Linked DNA regions of Macaca mulatta. The protein of the gene in region 2 purifies or fractionates together with the protein of the main gene of each other region. This does not show direct contact. Links are inferred from orthologs where the notes say so. Each region holds a gene or a part of one and is shown on either strand. Other genes may lie near its edges.

Region 1 (7,470 bases), on a different chromosome or scaffold from region 2:
TTTTATGATTCATATTTTATCTAAGTAAATATGTCATGTGAATTAGGTCATGGAGAGAATTTTCCTACTGCTTAAAAAATAGTTTTTAAAATTATTATTATTATTATTGTTTTTGTGAGATGGAGTTTTGCTCTTGTCACCCAGGCTGGAGTGCAGTGGTGTGATCTCGGTACACTGCAACCTCTGCTTCCCGGGTTCAAGCTATTCTCCTGCCTCAGCCTCCTGAGTAGCTGGGATTACAGGCGCCCACCACCATGCCTGGCTAACTTTTGTGTGTGTGTGTATTTTTAGTAGAGACGGGGTTTCGCCACATTGGGCAGGCTGGTCTTGAACTCCTGACCTCAGGTGATCCACCTGCCTCAGCCTCCCAAAGTGCTGGGATTACAGGCATGAGCCACCACTCCTAGCTAATTATTTATTTCTTTTTTCTTTTTCTTTTTTTTTTTATTTTTTATTTTTTCTGTGTGAAAGCATCTCACACTGTTTCCCAGGCTGGAGTGTAGTGGTGCCATCATAGCTCACTGAAGCCACAAACCGCTGGGCTCAAGCAACTCTTCGGCCTCAGCCTCCTGAGGAGGAGGGAATACAGGTGTGCCCCACCATGCCTGGCTAATTTTTTATATTTTTTTGTAGAGACAGGGTTAAGAATAAGTCATTTTTAAGTGCTAGCCTGTTACTTCTTCAGCTTTCATTTACCTCCATATAATTCTGCATTATTACCATTTAATTACCAAAGCAAGTCCTTAATTTAAAGGCCTGTAATAGGAAGCTTATCTTTAGCAAGGCTTGAGTAGCTAGTTTACTAGATAGTGAAACAATATTGCATTTCTTTTTAAATATAGAGTTATGACTTTTTAGTAAACCATATATTTTTTTACAGCTCTCTCTCCCTCTCCCCTTCTCTATCTACCCCAGGATTTAGACTAAATATGAGGAGTTTGATTCTTTCTCTAATATTCTTTACTGCAAATGTGTTTAGTTTATCCCTTGTGCTAACTGAAGACAGGGGCTGGAATTATGGATAATATACTTTTAAGAAGCTAAATAAAAGGAGTTTGATTATAGGTGCCCAGAGTTTGTTTCTCTATTCCTTCCGCAAAGTAAGACACAATTTATATTTTAAATAGCAGAACTGCTTACTCCTGCCATTGAAAAAAGACAACCTTGATTGATTAATCCATGAAGGAAGAAGTATTTTGTATTACTTCACTTTCACTAACTTAGATGTCTGGAAGCCGACATTTCAGTATCTGGGTTTTACTCATTAGCATTTACATGGAGAAAAAAACATTGTCTAGGTGGGTTTCGGTGGTTGTGTTTGGTTGGGACAAATACGTGACGTTGTTTAAGAGCTGTTTGTGCCAGAGACTATTTGTAGAAGCCTGCAGGAGCTCTGCACCCGGCCTCACCTGGGATTCTGGGGATGCTCCCACAGCCCCGAGGTAGATGGACATGACTCCTTCTCTGGGGTGCCTTTTGAGCCTCCCTCTACACTTCCCCCATCTCTTTTCCATAGTTTCTGTGAAGATGAGCTCCCATAAATGAGTGTGAAGATGTCGTGGGGTGGGGCAGGTGTGTGAGTGTGTGTTCTGGCTTATGATGCAGGCTATCTTTTGGTGGAGGTGAACAGGTTACCCATATCTGAGGACAGAGGACAGCATAGTTTAATCTCTTGGTGCTCAGCTTGGGAAATAAACACCAGAAGCAAGCTGGTAGTTTGAGAGAGGAATAGGAGCTGATCCAGACTGGGAGGGAATCATAGTACTTATGATGAGATCCAAAAGTTTGAGTGCCGTGTGCCGGCTGTCAGTATTTCATATGAGCTGACTTACTTCATGCAACAATCCTATGAAGTAGGTACCGTTATTATGCTCATTTCACAGATGAGGCAATTGAGACTGGAATAGCCAAGTGTCCGTTCAGGCTGCTGTTAACAAACTACCATACACTAGGTAATTAATAGACAATAGAAATGTATTGCTCGCAGTTCTGGAGGCCGGGAAGTCCAAGATCGAGGCATGGTAGGTTCAGTGTTTGGTGAGGGTCCGTCCCTCAAGGGTGGTGCCTTCCAGCTGCCTCCTCACACAGTGGATGGAAGGAAAAAATAAGCACTCTGGGGCCTCTTTGATAAGGGCACTAATGCCGTTCGTAAGGGTTCCACCCTCATGACGTAATCACCTCCCAGTTGCCCCACCTCCCAACACTACCACTCTGGGGATAAGTTTCAACATATGAATTTTAGGGGGACACAAACATTCTGACCATAGCAACAAGTAATTTGCTCAAGCGATGGGAAAAAACAGGAAGGACTGACATGTCCACAGACAAGCCTCCTCAGCCCTGGGGTACCCCCCTCCTGGGGGTTTTGTTGAGCTAGGGAAGGGGGCTGGAGTCTCTCTCATGTGTAGTTGTCATTACCCCCATGGATGGGGGCAGACAAGAAATTGTGGAGTTCCGAAATTTTCTAGTTGAAAGGCACCAAAGAAGTTTTCTGATTCCTTCCCTTCCCTGATGCGTGAACCTTTCTTGAATATTTCTGAGAGGTCTTCCCCACTTTGCTGGAATGCCTCTGAGTATTAGGAACTTAAGCTCTCATGAAGCAGCACTGTTCCATGTTCAGAGAGCTTGAGGTGAGGAAGTGATAGTGATAGGGAACCTTTCACTTCCCAGCTGCCCTGCAGCTCCCGTCATTCTCTGCAGTCCTCTTTCCAGCTCTCTGATCCCCTGCCCTGCTCCTGATCACAGGGACTGTGCCTTTGAGTTTGCTTCTGGCCGCCTGAGAAGTCAGAAAGGCCACCTTGCCTGGTCTTCTCCCTCTGACTTTGTGGAGTGTGAAGCCACAGTTCTCCACAGACGATGAAGTAGGAGGCCACAGGCTCTCACTTTCAGTGGGAACCAGGGACCAGTCCACACATCCACTGAATAGCTCCACTCGCCACCTGAAAGCCTTTCGAGCTCCGAGGCACACCTTTACTCTCCAAATGAATACATTTCCTCCGGAGCTGGGGCTGATGCGCCTGCCTTTTTGGGAAGAACACAAAGGAATGCAAGGCCTGGCACCTGCCTCAGTGTCCCTGGCAGGATCCTGCGACTGTGGTTGTGTTCACTGACTAAAGTACATATTCAAGTAGCTGTCGAAACTCAGGGAAGATCAATGAAGATCACATCTGCCTTTTTCAGAAATCCTTTTTTTTTGTTTCTTTGTTTTAATGGGGTCTCATTATATTGCCCAGGCTGGCCTCCAGCTCCTGGGGTCAAGTCATCCTCCTGCCTCACAGAAATCCTTCTGTTATGTTGCCTGTGGGTGAATGCGTGCATTTGTCTTCTGCCTGCAAGCGTGTCTCCCAGGAGCAATGCGAGGAGGCTCCAGGTGACTCTGTGTGGGGACTGAGCAGGATGGCATGTGATCACAAGCACGTGCATGTGTGTGTGTGGGTGTGTGTGGAGGGGTGTGTGTGTGGTTTTCTGCTGGGGTCTCTTGCTGTCCGATGGGGGAGGTCAGTGGGGAAATGGTTTCTTTCCATTTTTTGACAGCATAGAATGTTTTCCTTTAATGAACATGCTAACTAGGGAATCCACGTATCATTATTGCAACCGCTGTTTCTGCTTCTTCCTTGTTCCTCTAAAATCAGTTTTCCTCTTTCTCTTCCAGCAGATCAGCCAGTAGACATGATGAACATCAAAGCCTTTACGCTTGTCTCTGCCGTGGAGCGGGAGCTGCTGATGGGCGACAAGGAGCGCATCAACATAGAGTGTGTGGAGTGCTGCGGCAGGGACCTCTACGTGGGTACCAACGACTGCTTCGTCTACCACTTCCTGTTGGAGGAGAGGCCAGTGCCTGCCGGGCCGGCCACGTTCACTGCCACCAAACAGCTGCACAGACACCTGGGCTTCAAGAAGCCCGTGAACGAGCTGCGCGCAGCCTCAGCGCTCAACAGGCTGCTGGTGCTGTGTGACAACTCCATCAGCCTGGTCAACATGCTGAACCTCGAGCCCGTGCCCTCGGGGGCCCGCATCAAGGGGGCAGCCACGTTTGCACTGAATGAGAACCCTGTGAGCGGGGACCCATTCTGTGTAGAAGTTTGCATCATCTCTGTCAAACGCAGAACCATCCAGATGTTTCTGGTGTATGAGGACCGGGTGCAGATCGTCAAGGAGGTGTCGACCTCCGAGCAGCCCCTCGCTGTGGCTGTGGACGGCCACTTCCTGTGTCTGGCTCTGACCACTCAGTACATCATCCACAACTACAGCACGGGCGTCTCCCAGGACCTGTTTCCCTACTGCAGCGAGGAGAGGCCGCCGATCGTCAAGAGGATAGGGAGACAGGAGTTCCTGCTGGCGGGCCCCGGAGGGCTGGGTGAGGAGGATGCGTTTGTGCACCTGGTCTTTTTGGGTGGCCTCCGTGACTGCATGTTGAAACTGGAGAGTGAGATTGGCGCTGTGCAGAATAAATCCTCAGTGACATTGGGCATGTGTGGCAAGACAGAGGCAGCAGTGCTTGACCAGTGCTGAATGAAATCCAGTTCGATTGTTCTGTGAACATGGGGTTGCAGTCATAAAACCAGTTTCTTTCACACTGAAGTGGAGCTTGAAGACAGCTCTGGTGGTGTTACCAGGAAGGGCGGATATTCTCAGCCCTTAGTTATCTTGGGAGAAAGATTTTGGCCAAGAGACAATTCAGAGATAGCAGAGAGCTTTAGGAAGGGAAATAGAGAACAGAGAGTTTATATGGAGAGAGACAGTACGTTCTGAAAGATGAGGCAGAGTGGGATACTGAGAGAGTAAGCCAGCAGCCCTGAGAGTTCTGCCTCAGGTTTTTATGATGCTGGATTTTTTTCTTTAAGTTCCCACCTCTCTCTTAAGTTTCTGCCTTTTTCCTTTGTCTGCTTTTCCCGCTTCTGCCTTAAGTCCCCGCCTTTTTCTCCCACCTAATTTCTACCCTAAGCTTGTGGGGCCCTCTCTTACTATTAGTTGGTGCGCATGTACAGCCGGTGTTGGATGTGAATCCCACCGAATGGCTGCATTGCTCATTACCTCCATCCCAGGAAGGTTGTACAGCGGTTAGGTCCATACTTACTGCACCTGCATGTCTCTTTGGAATTTCTCCTTTACTCTCTTTCTCTCCTCTCTCCTCATATCTAGCATGCATTTTGTTTGTTTGTTTGTTTGTTTTGTTTTGTTTTGTGACAGAGTCTCGCTCTATTGCCCAGACTGGAGTGCAGTGGCACAGTATTGGCTCACTGCAGCCTCCGCCTCCCAGGTTCAAGCAATTCTCCCTGCCTCAGCCTCCCAAGTAGCTGAGATTTCAGGCATGCACCACCACGCCTGGCTAATTTTTGTATTTTTAGTAGAGATGGGGTTTCACCATGTTGGCCAGGTTGGTCTTGAACTCCTGACCTCAAGTGATCTGTCCACCTCGGCCTCCCAAAGTGTTGGGATTACAAGGATGAGCCACCGCGCCTGGCCAGCTTGCATCTTTTTGATGGTCTCTGGGATGTGGGATTTTCCAGACCTCCCTTTCTCAGGGCTTCTTCGCTCCTGCTTATGTCTACCTATCTACCCACTCCAACAGCGGGAAAATTCTTTTAAGTAAATAACTACAAAAATAACTTCAGGCCGGGCACGGTGGCCCACGCCTGTAATGCCAGCCCTTTGGGAGGCTGAGGCAGGCAGATCACCTGAGGTCAGGAGTTCGAGACCAGCCTGGCCGAAAGATGAAACACTATCTCTACTAAAAATACAAAAATTAGCCTGGTGCGGTGGCGAGCACCTGTAATCCCAGCTACTCAGGAGGCTGAGGCAGGAGAATCACTTGAACCCTGGGGGGGCGCAGAGGTTACGGTGAGCTGAGATCGTGCCACTGCACTCCAGCCTGGGTGACGGAGTGAGACTCTGTCTAAAAGAAATAAAATAAATAAATAATAATGAAAAGGAGTTGAAGTAGCTCACTAAGTATTTTCAATGTCAGGTACATAACATTTTCTCTTTTATGTCCTGTCATTTCATCCCACCAAAAAGTTTTTCATAGCTAGCTCCTCAAAAGGGGCTTTAGTGGTTCTTCTGTGGCCTTACCTAATTCTCCAGACAGCCTTATCAAAATTAAGAATCAGTGCTTTAACCTTAGTGATGTCTCCTGTCTTCCAGCCAGGGGTGGCTCATATTAGAATTCGTGTATATGTTCATGGTACAGGGATGCTGGCGAGAGTGCGTTCCGTTTAACACTGGTATTTTTTATCCTTGGAGAGTTTTTGTATAGACACCTCATTTCAAAGTGCTGAGTGCAAACACATTTTCTTGTGACAAACAAGAATTCCTGTCACGAACTATTTCATGTATATGTCTTGATTTTCACTTTAAAAAAATATATATATACATACTTTATTTTTTAGAGCAGTTTTAGGTTCACAGCAAAACTGAGGGGAAAGTACACAGAATTCCCATGGACCTCCTGCCCTCCCGTTATCCACATGACAGTGGTACGGGGACACGTTGTTAGCACCCGAAGCCCGTAGTTCATATTAGGGACTGTGCTCGACAAATATGTCATGACATGAATCCACCATTATAGTGTCATTCACAATCCGTTCACCACCTTGAAAGTCCTTTGTGCTCCATCTGTTCATCTCTCCCTTCCCCTAAGCCCCAGCAGCCGCTGATCTTTTTGCTGTTTCCATGGGTTTTTTCTTTTCCAGAGTGTCATCTAGTTGGGACCATACAGTATGTAGCCTTTTCAGATTGACTTCTTTCGCTTGGTCATAGGATTTTCTCTTTCCCCCCACCCTCGCCCAGGCTGGAGTAGTACAGTGGTGCAATCTCGGCTCACTACAACCTCTGCCTCCCGGGTTCAAGTGATTCTCCTGCCTTAACCTCCCAAGTAGCTGGGATTACAGGCATGTGCCACCATGCCCATCTAATTTTTGTGTTTTTAGTAGAGATGGGGTTTCACCATGTTGACCAGGCTGGTCTCAAACTCCTGACCTCAAGGGATCCACTGACCTCGGCCTCCCAAAGTGCTGGGATTACAGGTGTGAGCCACTGCGCCCAGCCGGTAATATGCATTTAAGTTTCCTCCATGTCTTTTTATGGTTTGACGCTATAGAGTCTTACGTTTTGAAGAAAAAATCTTTAGCCCAGCCACATTTGTTTTTCGAAAAATTGAGGAATTCCATACAGTGAAATTTTTTTTGTTGTAGAAAACATATATAAACTTATATAATAAAGAGAATAGCATAATGAACCAGGTAGAGACATCACCCAACATCAGGCATTCTCAGTTTATACATGTTTATTTTGAGGCAAATCCCAGACATCATAGCGTTTCATCTGTAAACATTTTAGTACATATTTCTAAGTTACCTAAGAAAACCCCAATTCCTAAAAAACCTGACAGTAATTCCTTAATATCAAATATATCTAGATGTGATATATTTGATGTGAATGCCTTCATCGCTCTGTAATGTTAACAGCTAT
Region 2 (7,054 bases):
TTCCATAACAATTGTAATCCCCATGTGTCATGGGAGTGGGAGAGAACTGAATCATGGGAGTGGTTTCCCTCACACTATTCTCATGACAGTAAGTTCTCATGAGATCTGATGGTTTTATAAGAGGCCCCCCACTTTGCTCAGTTCTCATTCTTCTCCCTGCTGCCATGTAAAGAAGGATGTGTTTGCTTTCCTTTCTGCCATGACTGTAAGTTTCCTGAGGACTCCCCAGCCATGCTGAACTGTGAGTCAATTAAACCTCTTTCCTTTATAAATTATCCAGTCTTGGGTATATCCTTATAGCAGCATAAGAACAGACTAATATACAGCTACACCAAGGCTAAAGGAACAAAAGGAAGTGGATGGAATTACCAGAACTTTGAGGTTTAAAGGGGAGCACCCAGAGAGCTGATCCTTGGGTCTCTGAGGAGGAGGTCCTGTTGAGCTGATACTAGTGTCTCTGAGTTTGAGGGCAGGGCAGCCCTCTGGGGTGTGATCCCTGGTCAGTTGATACTGGCATCTCTGAGGTAAGGGCACAATAAAGGTGCTTCTGCAAATTTTAGAACAACTGCAAACTAGATTCACCTACTGCTACTGCAAAAAATGGCTGCTGCCAGGGTTAAGCAGGGAGGCTGGGGTGAGGCTGACAGAATAGGAAGCAGGATGGAAGGGCCAAGTCTCTTCAAAAAGACTCACTTGAGGGGAATGGTAAGAGCTCTTTAAATAGAATCAGTTATTCACTTTCTCCCCTCTGTGTCTTTGTTTTGCTGAAATGTGCATAATACTCAACAGAAAGACTAAAATGAAAAGGAAGAACATACTAAGTACTGTTGAAGATGGAGAACCAGAACTCTCATGGGTGGCTAATGGGAATGAACACTGAATAACCCTTTGTGAAGAAGATGGTTTGGTAACACATACTAAAGCCTAACATACACTGGACCCTGTTACCCAGAGAGTGCACTCCTGCATGCACACATCTTGTATGATTCCATTTATAAAGTCTTCAGTAAGAAACGAATATGATCAATGCTCTTAGCCATCAGGAAGGTGGTTACTCTTGGGGTTGGAGAGTGAGGTAGCAGCAAGAGGGAGACTTCTGGCATGCTCCGCTTCCTTATCTGGGTGCTGCTTCCATGGGTGTAATAAATTCATAAAAATTCATCGGGTTGTACACTTTTATATATGTAGACTTTGATGTGATTATGTAATATTTTAATAACCGTTAAAGGTAACACCATTCCGCTTCTGGGCATATACCCAAAAGAGTAGAAAGCAAGAACTCAAAGAGACATTTGCACACTCATGTTCATGGCAGCATTATTCACAAAAGCCAAAAGATGGAAGCAATTCAAGTGTCCCTCAGTGGATGGATGGATAAGCAGTTTCTATATACAAATGTGGAGTTTTATTCAGCCTGAAAAAGGAAGGAAATTCAAACACATGCTACAACATGAATGAACCTTGAAGATATAATGTGAAGTAAAATAAACCAGTCTCACAAAAGGACAAATACTACATGATTCCATGAGGTGCTTAGAGTAATCAAACTCTCAGAGACACAGAGTAGAATAATGGTTGCCAGGGACCAAGGAGGGAGGAATGGGGAGTTATTGTTTGACAGATAGAGTTTCAGTTTCACATGAGTTCTGTGGATGGGTGATGGTGATAGTAGCACAAGGTGAATGTAGTTAACGTACACTTTAAAATTAGTAAATTTTATGTTATCTGTAACACAAATTAAAATTTTAATTTTTAATTTAAAAAAAAAGTGATTCTAATATATACCTTCCAAGTAAATGCATGCATCGTAATGAAGTTATTAACTTACCTCTGGAAGACATTCCAGCATGTTCACACCTCTTCTCTTATTGGGCTACTGTTAACTCTACCTTTTTAATCTTGTGTACAAGAAGTGAAAAAATCAAGAATGGACTCTCCAAGCAGTAAGAGGAGATGCATAAGACCACTTTACATGGAACCTTTCACTAACAAAATGCTTTAACATCCTCCTTCCCGTTTACACTCACTACACCCCCCTGCAAGAAAGGCAGGTCAGAGATATCTGTTACCCTCACCTTACAGCTGGAGAAACTGACTGAAAAAGAAAAAACCAAAAAATCACAGCCAACGGAAGAAACAAATTTTCTTTTACCAAATTCAAGCTGTAAGACATCCTTATGATGTCTTACGTAAGTGCATGAGTAGATTTAAAAAGCAAATTCAATTTACAAATTAGTTTTGTGCTTCTATTGCTCCCATAATAAAATGCGTAATGTTACACAGATCTTTTTTATATTTTGAAAAACAATTTCACTGTTTGACTTGAAAACAGTTTATTTAATTTATACAAATAACTACTAAATACAAAAAGTAGATTAAAACAAAATAGTTATTTTTTTCTGGCAGAGTTTAAATGCACATAATGGATAATTCTGAAGAAAATGCATTTTCCCCGTAGCGTTCAGGACTAAAATTCTACTGAAATCTTTGCTTCTAAATCAGTAATATATTCGGTGGTGTCACGTGGGTAATGGCTAAATACGTTCTGCATATGAACTGAAAAAAAGTTACAGTCTACACACATACAAATGTGAAGCACTTAAAATGTGAATTTAACTGATAATAAAAGAAAATGTCCATTTTAGAGTATAGTGTTAAAAACATTTCGGTAATAAAATCATAAGACCACATAAAAATAAGCTTTAACATATGCACGAAGCAGTTTTGTAAAAACTACCAAGTGCACAAGTAATAAATAATTTGCAAAGTTGTGTATAAACAATTCCTAATGTTCGGCATCATTGTAAACATCAGCACATGTGTAAAATGCAGCAAAGTCTGACATTACATTTTGTTTTGCCAAATTGAATTCCTATTATCCAAAGACAGACCAGTGGAGTACGCAGCCAACATTTTGGCAAGTTGGGTCTTTAAAATTAAGAGTAACAGTGCAAGTAAGGAATGCAAAGAATTCCTAGTGCAATAAAGAAGAGAAGCACAGGCAATATTGCTGATTAAAAATTCACCACCTCCTTGAGTTTCCCGTGGGGAGTGTCTAGGAGACTTGTGAAAGCTATGCAAAGCCATTGTCTTAATGCCCAGATCTCTTTTAGGATTTCTCTGTGTTCCTCCAGTCCCTACCTTTGCAACAGTGTCTGTCCAACATTAGTCTCTGCAGTGTGAACAGTTCGTGAAATGCCCAGTTCACAGTCATCGAGCGAGGTTAGGGTGGTTTTGATGTCTCCCCAACACATGGCTGGGTACGATGTCTGCCTTGTCAAAGCAGCCATTTGGGGAGGGAGACAGATGGATTCTGTTCTGGCAACCAGTCAGGCCAGCAGTAGGTCCCAGCTGGACAATGACAACAATGTCAAATCTTCCTTCTTGACACTATGAAAATGTCAACAGTCAGTTTTCAATTTGTCGAGGGAATTATCAATTTTGGTCAAAGTCTTTTTGATACGCAGTGCTGTGAGTCTTGCAGATGGATTTTGATACCAGCATTCTTTCATTAGCTTGGCCAGAGAGGTTAATGTCTGAGGAGAGAAAGAACAAACACCACAATGACAAACTGGCTTTTTAGTGGCCCTGGAAGCTGGGCTGATATCATGTCAACTGTTCTGAAGAACTCGCAGGTCTTGTGAAATTAGAGTTATGTTACTGTCATCTTCTTTAAACAAATATTCAAGCTTTAACCACTGATAAAGAGGCTACTCGTAGAGTTTCATGAACTCTGTCCTTTGGACTCTTAATGCTACCAATTTACTTTATCAGGCAAACGACATAGGCCAGATTGGACCCCTTAATGATTTTATGGGTGCTAAAGGCAGCAATACTAACCTAGAGATAATCCTGAAATTTCCAAACAGGGTCATTTCTCATTGTTTTATATCTACTACTACTTATGAGTAGCAATACAGGATCTTCAGCATTCAGCAGCTTGTGTTTGGGATTTCAGATATGCAGAGATGGAAAGGAGGTTAAAAGCTTCACTTAAAGTCTCTTGGTTTACATATGAAACTGCAGTCTTAGGGCTAGTAGCGGTAGTCATGAGTCTCCCAATTCTTGGAGCTGCCCATTCATAGAAATTCTTACAAATATTGTCATTCACTAGCAACCCCTATCAGATATGGCTTCTTCGAGAATGGGAGTATTTGTCTGAGCTTCCTCTACTAGATCTAAACCCTTCCACATAAAATAGGAAGAGAAAACAACAGATACACAGGACAGATCACTCAGATGCTATACCAGTTGAAACTCAAAAGGAAACAAATAGCAAACAATGGAAAAGAGCTCTAAAACTGAGAAACTGGCATTCTTACCGGGTCTGAGAACCATCTGTTGGGTATGTTTGGCCTTTGTTGATCCACACAGACTACTTTCCTCATATCTTCAAAACTTGGGTCATTGGGAACCACGTCGTAGAACGGTGGCTTATAATCCTCCACTATACCTGCACACAAGGACAAGAATTGTGTTGGGTTAGCAAGAGAGTACAGGATCCCCCAAGATTTCATTGATGGGTGTCACAGGTTATAATGTGACAGAAGAAAATACTAATCACCTTCCTCATACCTCAGGGCAGTCCTGGAAGCTAAAGGTAGGTCCTAAAACAGGCAGAGAAAAAGGCAATAAATATACACCCTGCAGGGTATTGGAAGAAGGATAATTGTTAGAAGGAAATACGTGAAAACTTCTCATGTAATCATAACTATTAGCAAAATTCTCCCACAGTGTATATTAACAGCCCTGTAATGCCCAACAGGGCACTGAAGACATAGAACAAAAATTCCTTTGGTGATCAGAAACACCCAAGCCACCTGGGGAAAGCACATGAATCTAGTGGCTTCCAACCATAAATAGAAATAAAAAGTTGTCCACAAACCAGAGCTAGGGAGTAATAAACCAAGACCATCATCAAAATACCCCTTTTTTGTTATAAAAATATTGTTAAGAAAAACATTGTTATACATTAATCTCTTCCATTAGGAGGGATGCAAATAATATAATAGGAAATACTCATTTCCTCATTAATTCATTCTACATGTACTGAGTACCCGCTAACTGCCAGGCACAGCTGTCTGACTGATGGTTCTATTATTTAAAATCATACTGAAGGCATAAAATAAAATGTAAAGAGGATAGCCACGTGGGAAGGCAGAGGAAAAGACGGATAAATAATGAGCTCTTCCTCTGCCCAAAAGCAAATGTGAAAAGTAGCTAATTTCAGCTTCTGCCCCTGCATGATTTCCAGTGGCCTGGAAACCTTTTCTTTTCCAGCAGAATTATATCAACTCCTTAAACAGAAAAATGTTTAACTTCATTATTTGGAATTAGAAAATGGATTCTTCCCCTTCATAGACATAAAACCAAGACATCTATTATTTCTTTTCCCTCAACAAAGGGTTCAAACAATGAGGTAATAACTTGGTTTACTGCTCTCTTTTCTTCCTCCGGGTCTTTCTTCTATTCCTAAACACCTAAAAAGTTGTTGGAGGGGACAGAAGGAGACAGTGAGGAAAGTTGTAATTCAGTTGTTCTAGTTCCTAGAAGCCACCTGAAAAGCTTCAATTCCCTTTTCATTTATCATAGAAATTACTAACAGTGGGAATCCATTCTTACAAATTCCATACAAATACAAACCATTTATGCAAAACATTAGCTATGATAAAGAGCATCTTTTCAAGAAATACTATACATCTTTTTAAAACTTCACAAATTTGGCTAAATAAAGGTTTATATTTGAGATGGAAACTAGTCTAAATTATATTTTTTAAAAATCTAGGCTGGGTGTGGTGGTTCATGCCTGTAATCTCAGCACTTAGGGAGGCCAAGGCGGGTGGACCACTTGATGTCAGGGTTCGAGACAAGCCTGGGCAACATGGCAAGACCCTGTCTCTACTAAAAGTACAAAAAGTAGCTGGGTGTAGTGGCGCATGCCTGTAGTTCCAGCTAACTCAGGAGGCTGAGGCACAAGATTCGCTTGAACCCGAGAGGTGGATGTTGCAATGAGCCAAGGTCACACCACTGCACTCCAGCCTGGGTGACAGAGTGAGATTCTGTCTCCCAAGAAAAAAAACAAAACAAAAAACTAGTTAATTCCAAATAGCTTACCCACCTTGTGTAACTGCATTTGAAATGCATATCAGTCAGTGGATTAAAACCTTCCTAGCAAATCATAAACAGGTCATATTGGGTATAAACTGCTACTCTCAGAAGTCTTGGAACACCTCATCTTAGAGGCCCTTCTTCTCCTGTAAGAATCCCAGGAAGCATTCAAACAAATATCTTTTAATTATTTTCAGTACTAACAGACACCATCTAAAATACAGCTGAACATGGACCCAGAGAGATATTTTATATGTTTTCTAGGGTCACAAGAATTTACAGAAAACAGTAACACATGTGCTCTTCACCATCTCTCAATTTTTCTGAAAGAGAGTATATTTAATAGCCTACCTTAATATTTAAATATCTAGCATAACAGCCATCTATTTGGAGTAATTTACCTGTTGAGCTTAGGAAGGGTTATGTGAATGTGAACAGTAACACAAAGTTGAAGTTTTCTATAAATGCAAAAGAAAACAAAGCATGGCTGGATTTTTAAAACATGAGATCTGGTGATACCAAACAATGAATTTCACTATACAAAGCTGAAATTTACCCTTGTGTTTCCGTTTCCCATGTTTTAATTTTATTAAATGCCCCCATGTTTTAATAAAAGGAGTCAAGTATTTTTAAAAGACCATTTAATTGATTATCCCTGGGACTTAGTCAAGCCTCTTTTTCCTCAATCATTGGCCAACTGTTGATTGTTTTCACCTGACGCTGGCCATGCTTCTCCAAAATAAAATAAACCTGGGATTAAGCTCGAACAGTCACTAGGAACTCCCTCTGATCAAGGAAAGCAATAAATCAGTTGACAGTGCATTACTACTATGGTGGGATGCCATATTAAATGCTGAGAGTGATAAAAACATAAGACATGCTCTTGTTTTCCAAGGAAATCAAAATCTAGTGGAAAAGCAGGACAAATCTCTCATTTTTTTTTCCC

What was found.
Region 1: the proteins of ACVR1 (region 2) and TGFBRAP1 purify together in Homo sapiens (co-immunoprecipitation; 3 studies listed by BioGRID and IntAct, counting the BioPlex papers as one, with this or other methods). This does not show direct contact. The link is inferred for Macaca mulatta from reciprocal best matches to the Homo sapiens genes ACVR1 and TGFBRAP1.

What each region holds. Positions count from the first base shown.
Region 1 is NC_133418.1:13,410,123-13,417,592, reverse strand, and holds part of TGFBRAP1 (transforming growth factor-beta receptor-associated protein 1), read left to right. Parts: intron 1-3,652; exon of another isoform or gene 3,653-3,655; 5' UTR 3,656-3,669; coding exon 3,670-4,357; intron 4,358-7,470. UniProt on the Homo sapiens protein: Plays a role in the TGF-beta/activin signaling pathway. It associates with inactive heteromeric TGF-beta and activin receptor complexes, mainly through the type II receptor, and is released upon activation of signaling.
Region 2 is NC_133417.1:62,607,803-62,614,856, forward strand, and holds the end of ACVR1 (activin receptor type-1 precursor), read right to left. Parts: intron 4,454-7,054; coding exon 4,323-4,453; intron 3,537-4,322; coding exon 3,402-3,536; 3' UTR 2,322-3,401; downstream 1-2,321. UniProt on the Homo sapiens protein: Bone morphogenetic protein (BMP) type I receptor that is involved in a wide variety of biological processes, including bone, heart, cartilage, nervous, and reproductive system development and regulation.